Linked DNA regions of Mus musculus. The protein of the gene in region 3 interacts with the protein of the main gene of each other region in a biochemical or structural test. Links are inferred from orthologs where the notes say so. Each region holds a gene or a part of one and is shown on either strand. Other genes may lie near its edges. The genes, in order: Pkmyt1, Cdca5 and Cdk1.

The links.
Region 1: of the proteins of Cdk1 (region 3) and Pkmyt1, one has a biochemical effect on the other in vitro, tested with the Homo sapiens proteins (2 studies listed by BioGRID and IntAct). The link is inferred for Mus musculus from reciprocal best matches to the Homo sapiens genes CDK1 and PKMYT1.
Region 2: of the proteins of Cdk1 (region 3) and Cdca5, one has a biochemical effect on the other in vitro, tested with the Homo sapiens proteins (2 studies listed by BioGRID). The link is inferred for Mus musculus from reciprocal best matches to the Homo sapiens genes CDK1 and CDCA5.

The regions. Positions count from the first base shown.
Region 1 is NC_000083.6:23,732,782-23,736,428, forward strand, and holds part of Pkmyt1 (membrane-associated tyrosine- and threonine-specific cdc2-inhibitory kinase), read left to right. Parts: coding exon 1-43; intron 44-151; exon of another isoform or gene 152-1,041; coding exon 1,042-1,535; intron 1,536-2,184; coding exon 2,185-2,291; intron 2,292-2,418; coding exon 2,419-2,591; intron 2,592-2,781; coding exon 2,782-2,939; intron 2,940-3,404; exon of another isoform or gene 3,405-3,542; coding exon 3,543-3,620; exon of another isoform or gene 3,621-3,647. UniProt on the Homo sapiens protein: Acts as a negative regulator of entry into mitosis (G2 to M transition) by phosphorylation of the CDK1 kinase specifically when CDK1 is complexed to cyclins. Mediates phosphorylation of CDK1 predominantly on 'Thr-14'. Also involved in Golgi fragmentation.
Region 2 is NC_000085.6:6,083,708-6,087,454, forward strand, and holds the start of Cdca5 (sororin), read left to right. Parts: upstream 1-1,389; 5' UTR 1,390-1,455; coding exon 1,456-1,501; intron 1,502-1,690; coding exon 1,691-1,782; intron 1,783-2,694; coding exon 2,695-2,760; intron 2,761-2,844; coding exon 2,845-2,880; intron 2,881-3,747. Other genes in the region: Zfpl1 (zinc finger protein-like 1), read right to left, coding at 242-353, 645-746. UniProt on the Homo sapiens protein: Regulator of sister chromatid cohesion in mitosis stabilizing cohesin complex association with chromatin. May antagonize the action of WAPL which stimulates cohesin dissociation from chromatin.
Region 3 is NC_000076.6:69,350,663-69,354,409, reverse strand, and holds the start of Cdk1 (cyclin-dependent kinase 1), read left to right. Parts: upstream 1-1,497; 5' UTR 1,498-1,574; intron 1,575-3,747. UniProt on the Homo sapiens protein: Plays a key role in the control of the eukaryotic cell cycle by modulating the centrosome cycle as well as mitotic onset; promotes G2-M transition via association with multiple interphase cyclins.

The DNA.
Region 1 (3,647 bases), on a different chromosome or scaffold from region 3:
GCTCAGCCGCCTGGGTCATGGCTCATATGGAGAAGTCTTCAAGGTAAATGGAGGGTGGTTTCCCAGGCTTCGCAGGAGCCTCTTTGCCTTGGGTTCCCTACTTGAGTGGAATAGTGTCCTAGGCACCCTGCAGCCCTTTCTTCTCTGACAGCCTTCCTCTCTAGGACTGAACAACCACTCTCCATCCCAAGATCAAGTACCTTCAAGAGCTACCTCATGCACACTGGCCTCTTGTCCAGGCCTAGCACAGCCCACAGCAGTTCTCTGCTTTCTGCCTGGAGATGGCTGTGCTGGCGCGTCCATGGCTGGGTCTGTCTGACCTGGAGCTAATCCCACACCATATTCCCTAGGCTAGCAGGTTCAAAAGCTGTTCCTCTCCTTGGCTCATCATCATCTTCTTTTCTATTTTTTTAAAGATTCACACACACACACACACATACAGAGAGAGAGGGAGAGGGGGAGGGGGAGAGAGAGAAAAAAGACAGAGAGAGAGAGAAAGAAACTGTCTTCAGAAACACCAGAAGAGGGCATTGGATCCTAATACCAATTGAATGGTGGGAATTGAACTCATGACCTCTGTAAGAACAGTCAGTGCTCTTAACCACTGAACCATCTCTCCAGCCCATCATTTTCTTTAATATGGTTTTAATTTTCCAATTACATTTCTCCTAAAATAGTAGCTTTCCTTTATGCAAGCATTATTGAAAAGCAATTTTATTTAAAATGCAAGCGGCACAGACCCTTTTCCTCTGTAGAGGAAAGCCTGGACACAGCAGAGACACTGTCCGTGGTTTGGGGGACTACCATTTCCTCTTAGCACTGGACCCTGGTCATAGCACATAGGTCTACCCCACCTCCTCTGTTGCTGGGTCTCTGATGCACCGTTGTGCAGTGGACATGCATGTGTCCAGTTAGTTATCATTGCACGCAGAGGTCTAAGGCTGACATGGATTCCCCTACGTTGTGAAATCAGGACAGCATTCTTTGATTGCCCCATCCCCTGCCCCCACATCCTGCTTCTGGGCAACACCTCCCTTCCAGGTGCGCTCTAAGGAAGATGGGCGACTCTATGCTGTTAAGCGCTACATGTCGCCATTCCGCGGCCCCAAAGACCGAACTCGTAAACTGGCTGAGGTAGGTGGCCATGAGAAAGTGGGGCAGCATCCACACTGCGTGAGACTGGAGCGGGCCTGGGAGGAGGGTGGCATCCTATACCTGCAGACAGAACTCTGCGGGCCCAGCCTGCAGCAACACTGTGAAGCCTGGGGGGCCAGCCTGCCAGAGGCCCAGGTCTGGGGCTACTTGCGGGACATTCTTCTGGCTCTGGACCATCTACATAGTCAAGGCCTAGTTCACCTTGATGTCAAGCCTGCCAACATCTTCTTGGGCCCCCGGGGCCGCTGCAAGCTGGGCGACTTTGGACTACTGGTGGAGCTGGGTTCAGCCGGTGCTGGCGAGGCCCAGGAGGGAGATCCTCGCTACATGGCCCCAGAACTGCTGCAGGGCTCTTATGGGACAGCAGCAGATGTGTTCAGGTGAGGCCTGGGTGAGGACTGTAAGAGCCCTTTGTTGGTGGCTGATCAGCAGACAGAAAGGGACTGCCTGATAGAGGAGCTCCTTCCTGGCACAGGGTAGGAGGGCAATCCAGCCTGGGAGGTGCTGTCACTCCCTGCTAGCTGAAAGGTTTCCAGAGTAAGCAGCAAGCCTGCCAGAGGCCCTTTATACTGTAGGCTAGCCGTCTCCTTGCAGCTTCATGGCTGTGCTCCAGGACAGGGAGAGTAATGAGGTGGAGGGACTTGTTAAGTCCACAGTTAACATCTGGGACTACAGCCAGACCCAGGGTTTTGAGACCATACTGGCTACTACTACCCTGCCTCAGTGTATTCTGTTCATCTCTACAGAATGATGATGCCAACCCTAGTAACCATGGAACCATTTGCATGTCAGTGTGGTTCTGATGGGCTAGCTGCTTGAGTGTGGAGTCCATACTTCAAGGTGTCCATCTTGACTGGTGCTCACTGGCCCTCCAGGGCTCTCCTCAAAGCTCCTTACCCCTTTCTCACTAACTTTATGGTTTATGGTAGAAGAGAACGGCCCTTTCCCACCAGAATGCTGGATAGGATTGGGATGTGTGTCACAAAGCTGACTCTGCCTCTTTTTGTCTTCGCGTCCTGTCCTTCCTAGTCTGGGTCTCACCATCTTGGAAGTGGCCTGTAACATGGAACTGCCCCATGGTGGGGAGGGCTGGCAGCAGCTGCGCCAGGGATACTTGCCCCCTGAGTTCACTGCTGGTGAGTGGTTCAGAAGAAGAGCCAACTATCACCAGCTTCTGGCAAGGGGTGGTGAGTAGTAGGGGGCACCATTGGACTAAGGGCCCAGTCAGTACCCTGCCCCGACATGGCCCTGCCTCATCGGCAGGTCTGTCTTCTGAGCTGCGTTCTGTCCTCGCCATGATGCTGGAGCCTGACCCCCAGCTTCGAGCCACAGCTGAGGCCCTGTTGGCCTTACCCATGCTGAGGCAGCCACGTCCCTGGAATGTTCTGTGGTATATGGCTGCGGAAGCCCTAAGTCGAGGCTGGGCCCTGTGGCAGGTAAGCCTTTATGGTGCTGGGCTACCCTACCCGTTCCTTGCCCAGGTGACCTTCCTGGCCTCCTGAGGCTCACTTCTGAACTTACTGTATAGATTACTGTTGTCCTTGAACTCATCATATTCCTACCTCAGCCTCCCAAGTGCTGTGATTCATCACAAGGCTTGGTTTCTGAGGCTCATTCTTTCTTTAGGCCCTGGTCACTCTGCTCTGCTGGCTCTGGCACGGGCTGGTGCATCCTGCCAGTTGGCTGCAGCCTCCAGGCCCACCGGCCACACCACCTGGCTCTCCACCTTGCAGCCCCCTCCTGGACAGCACCCTCTCCAGCAGCTGGGATAATGACAGCATAGGGTGGGTGGTGTGTGTGTACATCATTGTGGTCAATGCGAGGGGTCTCGGGGCCCCTGTCACACTCAGGGGACAAAGACTGCCAGTGTAGAGGTAGATGGTGGTCTGTGTAGGCAGCTGTGACATTCAGTGCACAACTGCAGTCCCCACCTCTGTAGAGGCTGTCCCTGTTCAGAGATAAAGTGCTGTCTTCCACTGAGTGGACACCTCCCAGCACCTGGTAAGTCCCTGTCCTGAGAGGATTCCCTTGCTCCCAGGTGTCTGCTAGCCAAGGGAAAGAGTGTATAATTAAGAAACGGCTGCAAGGAGGAACCTTATGCTCTCAGGATGCCTCCCATTATAGAAATATCCCCTCACTCTGACGGCTCGTTCTAAATGCTAGAGAAGCTTCATTTACCAAAACTCCACACCCAGCTCAGTTGGACCTGAAAAGGGACAGAGTTAACCCATGAATGTGGTCAGGCGGGAGAACTTGTCAGCTGCCAGTGTTTATTTCAAGTGTGCCTTGTCCCTTCACCAAGCAGAGGCCTGAAACAAGGAGGAGCAGGGCTGTTTATATCCTACTTTGCCCAACCGTCACCACCCTGCTTGTCCTCTTTCTTGTAGTCCCTCACTCTCCCCAGAGACCGTCCTGTCCCGGATCACTAGAAGAACCTCTACCCCTCGGGGCAGGTACATACCTAGGTGAGCAAGCCCGGGGTCTAGGCTTGG
Region 2 (3,747 bases), on a different chromosome or scaffold from region 3:
TAGCTCTCCCAGACTGGCAGAGCAGGAAGGAGAAGCTCTAACTTTCAGGGAAGATTCTAAGGCCTACGAAGAGAAAAGGCTTGCTGAGGCTTTATAAAACAGGACGGTACCTAAAGGAATCAGGATCTGAGGCTCTGACCTCCACGCTTGAGGGACTCACTGTCTTGCTTCTTGAAAGATGCTATCAAACCTGTATCCAAGCTGGATCCTGGGGCTGCCCTGACCCCTTCCCAGGCCTCACCATAGCAAACAAGACGGGTGGTCTCCCGACTGGCCAGGGGTGTGTTGCACAGGCGGCAATTGGGGTTGTAGTCACTATCTTGTAGCCACTGCAAGTAGGACTGCACGATGCACTGGAGTGGGAGAGAGATGTCACAACTGGTGCCCCAGGCTCCACGATGCACACACCACTCCAAGGCTCAAATGCCTCGTTTTCTCTCATCAGACTCATCATTTCATCTGTTCCATTTATTGAGTGACCATTTATTGAGCAGCTACTGAAGGCATAGCAGAGCGCATCACACCCCATGTTCTTGCCCTTGTGGAGCTTACAGTCTAGCATAGGTCCCCACATGGATTTAGAAGTAGGCAATCTTGTCTGCCCACCCACCCGCCCTGCTCAGACACTGCTCTAAACGCCCCACCTTGGCGTGATTGGCTACTAGGCAGTGCTCGCAGACGTTAACTCGGTGTTCGAAGCAGAACAGGTTCGTCACCTTCCTCTTGGGGCACTTGCAAAGTCCCATGACCGATCCTGGAGGGTGTGGTGGGGTGAAATCAGTTAGCAGGAAGCCAGGTTTTGGTGGCTGCCAGTTTGTTTTCACCAACCCAGTTCTCTTCTTTTAAATCTCTCAGTCCCGTCTCACACCAGTCCCAACACCAAATTCTAGCATAATGCCTTAGCATGGGTAAAGCCACGTCTCCTGTACAGATCGTACCACAAACGACCGACCCTTCATTCCATCAAGACCCAGGAAGGCCCTCGCCAGATCTCTGCACAGCTCCAATACCACCAGCCCCGCCCCCAAGACCCACCCCCTCTTGACCCGCCCCCAGCTGGCCGACCACATTCTGGATGTCCGCGAACCTCCGCGATGCCGATCGTGACCGGTGCGTACGGTAATGAAAAGCGCGGAAGGCCGGGGACTGAGCTCACCAACTCCGGTAGCTGCAGCTCCGCTCCCTTCAGGTCCGGCCTGATTATCCCTCCGCTGCCACGTCTCTTCCGGGTGCGGCGCACGCTGATGACGCCACAGCGCCGCAGGATACGCCTCTGCCTTTTGCTAGCTAGACGTAAAGCCTGTGACAACAAAAGCGGATGGTCCGCCTCCGGCCTGTGTCACTTCCGCTTTCTCGCTAGCAAGGCGGGCAATTTGAACGTTTGAAGCAGCAAAGTTCCCGGTTGGCGCGAGCCTGAGTAGGCGACCGCGGCGGAGACTGAGCCCGACCGTACACATGGCGGAGCGGCGAACACGATCAGGAGGGGCTGCCCAGCGGTCTGGTGAGCACGGGAGCAGTGGAGCGGGGTTGTTTGGGGAACAAAACTTGGCTCCCGGTGGAAGACGCCCCAAAGGGGTAGTTGGAAAACGACTTTTGCTTTTCCGAACTCGTCAAGCATCTTGTTTCGTTTGTTTGTCGCCTTTTCTTCGAGCAAAGTTTTGCTCACCATCAAACGTGTTTTCCTTTCCAGGGCCCAGGACTTCACTTACTAAGCCTTCGAAGTCGTCCAAGCGGAAATCTGGCTCAGATCTCCCGAACTCGTTCTCTGAAATCTGGCCGAGGGTGAGTTCCTGGTCCCCCAGGTGTTGGGGTTGGGTTTGTGCGCTGCGTATTCAGATGCTAATTTCTATGCCTAGGTATCCTTAGTCCGGCTAACTAGCACCTCCGGGCTCACTGTTGTTTTTTTTTTTTTAAATCATCTCTGATTGGTTGATAAAGAGCTGATCAGCCTATGGCTGGGCAGGAGAGGACAGAGGAGGCGGGACATCAGCGCCCATTGAGGCGTCCGGAAGAGTCTAGGGAGAGAGAAGTGGGAGAGGGGGAGGCGCGGAGAGAGCAGGTGGTTTCACTCTAAGGTCAAGAGGAGGGAGAGAGCAGTCATGAGGGCACACATGGACCAGATTGAGTCAGAGTAAGACTGAGATTCAGGTAGAGGACCGTGTGACTGGTAGATAGGCAGCCTGAGAGGGTTAGAGTAGCTCAGAACCTGCCCAACATAGTGCCAGCAGCCTTTGAATAACAGCTCTGTGTCCTTTACTCAGGAGGTAGTGGCGTTGGGGGGAAGAAATGCCCTGCAGTTATTTGGGAGCAAGGGAGTCAAAAAACTCCCGCCCAATGCTTCCACAGTTGGTGCCCAACATGGTGCAAGAACTTACAAACTTAGAACCAGGCTTAGAGGCTGAGAAGTCTTGGATAGAAGATAAGGAAAACTTTTCTCAGCAACACCCCCAAAGTACTTTTTTTTTTTTTCCTCGAGACAACGTTTCTCTGTATAGCCCTGGCTGTCCTGGAACTCACTTACTTAGTAGACCTGGCCGGCTTCGAACTCAAAGATCCACCTTCCTCTGCCTCCCAAGTGCTGGGATTAAAGGCGTGCACCACCACTGCCCGGCTCCCAAAGTACTTTTACACTGACCTAGAGGGCTTTGAACTATTGTAAAGCTCATGGATAATACTTTCTTTTACCCCCCCCAGACAACTCCAGCGGTCCCAGTCAGAAAGGCCATCGTCTTGAAGAAGATCGTAGCTCATGCAGTAGAGGTGAGGGGCTGAGAGAAGGCTTTGGGAGTGAGATGTCAAAACTGGGCTTAGCTATTGATTGATCAGTTGATGTCATCCCTACAGGTCCCAGATGTCCACACGGTTCGAAGAAGTCCTAGGGTGAGTTCAGTTCTGTTTATTTCTGTTTATTTGTGTAGGATTTACCCTTAGAGGGTAGGCATACACTTCTACCCAGGCAACTGCTTCATGGCTTGTCAGTTTAGGTCTCAGTGTATAACACTGTTTCCTGAACTGGAAGTTACGGTAGACCAGACTGGCCTCAAATTCATAGAGATCCACCTGCACCAGTCTCTGCAGATAGATTCAAATCTTAGAGATGGGCATGCTACCAGGACTGACTGTAGTTACCAGTCTTGTTTCCTGCCTATGGGTGTCATTCATTTCTTTTTTTTTTTGGGTTTTTTTGTTTTGTTTTGTTTTGTTCCCCAGAGCTGAAAACCACTGAGCTAAATCCCCAACCCCAACCCCTCATTTCTAGTTCTTTATGCTCTGAACATTCTCACTATTTTTCTTAAAAAGTTATGGTTTAACCACTGGGCTTCTGTAGACTGTTTTGCCACTGTTTTGTTGTGATGTTGTGATGGCGCACGCCTTTAGTCGCAAGATTTGGGAGGCAGAGGCAGGCGGATCTCGGAGTTTTAGGCCAGCCTGGTCCACAGAGTGATAAGGTTGTTTTGCTGAGTGTTTATTTATGTTTTGTTTGTTTGTTTGTTTGTTTTATGGTTATAGAATGAGTTATGTGTAGGGGCTGGAAAGATGGTTCTGGGTAAAAGCAGTTTTCAGATTCCATCAGATGGACCCTACACACCTACAGCTTCAGTTTGAGAGTATCCAACGCCCTCTTCCGGACACATGCATACGCAGTGTAAAAGGTGCTGGGTGCTGGTGCACACCTTTAATTCCAGCACTCAGAAGGCAGAGGCAAGTGGATCTCTTTTGACTTATAGGCTAGCTTGGTCTACAGAG
Region 3 (3,747 bases):
AGCCCAATATTTAACATTCTTATGTGGAGATATGTCAAAACATTTAGTGTGTTATCATTGTATACATAATGAATACATAAGTGTATAATCACAGAAACAGGCTGGCATTTTTTCTTTTCAGTTTTGAGGGTGTCTTTCAGTGTTTCATTGGTTCCTATCCTCTTGTCTTCTTAAGGTACTTTAAATGTGATCCTTCTGCTGGCTGCTAAAAACTCATTGAAAAAAACATAATCTGCAGGAACACGGGAGAGCTGGAAAATACATCAAGTTACCTGACACAGACATAGAGAGACAGACACTTCATGTTCTTTCTCATAGGCGGATCCTAGCATGTAATGTTCATATGTTAGTGTGTATATAAGGTTCCAACTAGAAAGGAAAGGCTGCCCGAGTGGGGGGGGGGATTAGAGTCATGGACATGGTGATAGGACACAGAGGGCTATGGGCTTGGGGGCGTGCAGTTACGAGGTGCGGGGACTAGGGTTACTGGGAGAAGGGATGAGAAGAATTAACACAGACCAATATTGTCTGAAAATTCCATAGTGAAACTTAATATTATATATATACATATATTAAAGGTGTGTGCCACAATCCTCAGATATATATATATATATATATGTATATATATATATACACACACATATATACACACACACACACATATATATACACACATACATATGTAAACTAATATATTATATATTAATATTATATATTATTTATATTATCCCAGCTTAATATAGAATTTTGAAAGGCATAATCATAAAGTAATTTTAAATGTTAGCAATAGCCAGGTGGTGGTGGCAGCACACGCCTTTAACCCCAGTACTCTGGAGGCAGAGGCAGGAGGATCTCTGTGAGTTCAAGGCCAGCCTGGTCTACAGAGCAAGTTCTAGGTCAGTCAAAATTACACCCAGAAACCTTGTCTCAAAACAAAACAAAATAAAAGTAAGAAACTCTTTTTTTTTTTTTTTTTTTTTTTTGGTTTTTCGAGACAGGGTTTCTCTGTATGTGTAGCCCTGGCTGTCCTGGAACTCACTCTGTAGACCAGGCTGGCCTCGAACTCAGAAATTTGCCCTGCCTTTGCCTCCCGAAAGCTGAGACTAAAGGTGTGTGCTACCACGCCCAGCTAATAACAAGCTCTTGATGTAGTGGTACTGTCACTTTGGTGGCTGGCTATCTAAATTCAATGCATTTGAATTGTGTTAGTCTTGGAGGGAAATTACACACAGAAAGGTAGCTGGAGAAAAAAGAGAATAGATTAGACTGTCCAGAAACAACAGGACGATATTGGAAGGAAAACAGAGCTCAAGAGTCAGTTGGCGCCCGCCCTCCTGCAATTCCTCTGGCCGCGGTTTCCGCTCCCTTTCGCGCTCTGCGCTCCCAGGCAGCCCCGCCCAAGCGTAGCTCAGCTCTGATTGGCTCCTTTGAACGTCTACGTGCAATCGGATTGGCGGATCCCGGGAGCTTTACCGCGGCGAGTTTGAAACTGCTGGCACTCGGCCTCTAAGCTCCTGGAGTTGCTGCGTCCGCGCAGTCCGGAACTGCGGTGTGGCCCCAGCCGGGACAGAGAGGTATGGCGTGAGTCGGACTGGGTGCAGGCTGGGCCTGCGGGGGCTCCACGGGATCTGGGGGTTCCCCCGGGGAAGGGCAGGACATCCATGTGAGCCTGGGGATCCCTTGTGGACGGGTAGGGCCTCCACGTGAGATCTTGGTCTCCTGTGGACGGGTAGGGCCTCACCTAAGTCCGGGATCCCTTATGGTCGGGCATGGCCTCCCTGAGCCCGGGGTCTGGGGTACCCTATGGATGAGCATGTCCTCATCTGAGGCCAGGGTCCCCTATGCAGGAGCATGGCCTACCTGAGCCTGGGGACACTATGGAGGAGCAGGGCTCACCGGAGCCTGGGATCCCTATGGGGGGGGGGGGCAGGGCTCACCCGATCCAGCGGTCCCTTATGGAAGGGCAAGGCTCACTTGAGCCCCGGGTCCTGCGGACGTGCAGGCCCCTACGCGAGCTCCAGGTTCCTGCAGACTGGATGGGCCTCGCTGGAGTGGGCCCGGGTGTGGGCGGGGTGCCAAGTTATGTCCCAGGCCCTGTTGGCTGCCAGTGTGGAGCTGGGCTGCACCAGGCCAGCTGCCTTCGGAGGCCTTAAGTCGGTACTGCCGGAGAAACAGACCCGTGGTCGTTTAAAAAGCTTATTCCTACCAAGGTGCAGAACCAAGAAAGTGTAGGATCGTTTATTTTTAGTTGCCTGTGCTAAGGCCACAGACTGTACCCAGGCAAAGAAGGAGAGAGAGGGAGAACCGCGGATGCCTTCGCGTCCTTGATCGTCTTAAAACATAAATACCGATGAAGGTTCTGATGTGCGGGCCACCATCGCCTGCCCCCAACTTGGATACACTGGGCAGCTTTTAACAGCAGGCCCGGGAGACTGGAAAATGTTGGAAGGAAATAAGCCCAGCTTTCAAGACATGTTAACTCTTTGCTGTCTGTGCAGAGGTGGTTGAAACGTTTAATGCTCTATAGTTATATTAAGTCTCTGTATTGAAGAAAGGGGGTTGGGGGGGGATGCGTTGAAATTTCCTAAACATAATCTCCATAGTTGAGAGTCAATCTTATGTGTCTGAGAATCCCCAGGGTTCAGTGGGATGCCTGGCAGGACCCTTGGACGGGTTTACATTTTCCTTCTGAATTTTTATCTGTTGAGCCGCTGCCTCCTTGTGCAGTGCCAAGAGCTGGGATTCCTGGCTGTGCCCCCACACCCCATGGAGTTGATTTTACTGTGGAAAGAGATCTGTAAGGAACAGCTCACGAGAGGTCAGCCATTCCTTGATGCTCATTCATAAGGATCTTGTCACCCGTGGCAGAGGGCTTTCAAGGAGAAGGCACACCTTTTTCCTACCATTCTTTGTGAGCCAAGAAATTGTTTCTCCCTTGTTCGTGATATTTTTCAAAGCATGATTAGCAAACACACTGTCTTAGCGTTGTTGGGATGAAACACCATGACCAAAGCAAAGGAACTTGGGAAGGAAAGGGTTTAGTTGTCTTGTACTTCCACGTCACAGTTCGGCCTCAGAGGAAGTCTGGACAGGAACCTGGAGGCAGGAGGCCATGGAGGGGGCTGCTTCCTGCCTTCTTTCACATAGCTTGCTCAGCCTGCTTTAAGAACACAGGACCCTATATGCCCACGGATGACCCCACCCACAACGGGCTGAGCCCGCCCCCATCAATCTCTAATTAAGAAACTGACCTAAAGACTTGCCTCCAGCCCCATCCTATGGGAGCATTTTCTTAACTGAGGTTCTCTCCTCTCAAGATGACTTCAGCTTGTGACAATGTGACCTGGCCTAAAGCTAGCCAGCACAGCACAACACCTTCCATTCTTTCTTCTAAGGTGCTTATGGACATTTCTTTCTCTTTGAGTACCTTGAGTGGGATTGTCTGTGGCTGCTTTTGGGAAGCATTCAATTGAATGATTTTTGTTTTTTGTTTATTTCCCCCGAGACAGGGTTTCTCTGTGTAGCCCTGGCTGTCCTGGAACTCACTTTGTAGACCTCGAACTCAGAAATCCGCCTGCCTCTGCCTCCCAAGTGCTGGGATTAATGGCATGTGCCACCACTGCCTGGAGAATTGAATGCTTATAAGGTAAACAGATGCTTTTATTAAAAACAACAACAACAACTGTTATTCCTAGTGGTTGGACTTTACAGTTGTACTTTGTTTCCTTTTGAAACAGTGTTGCAGCG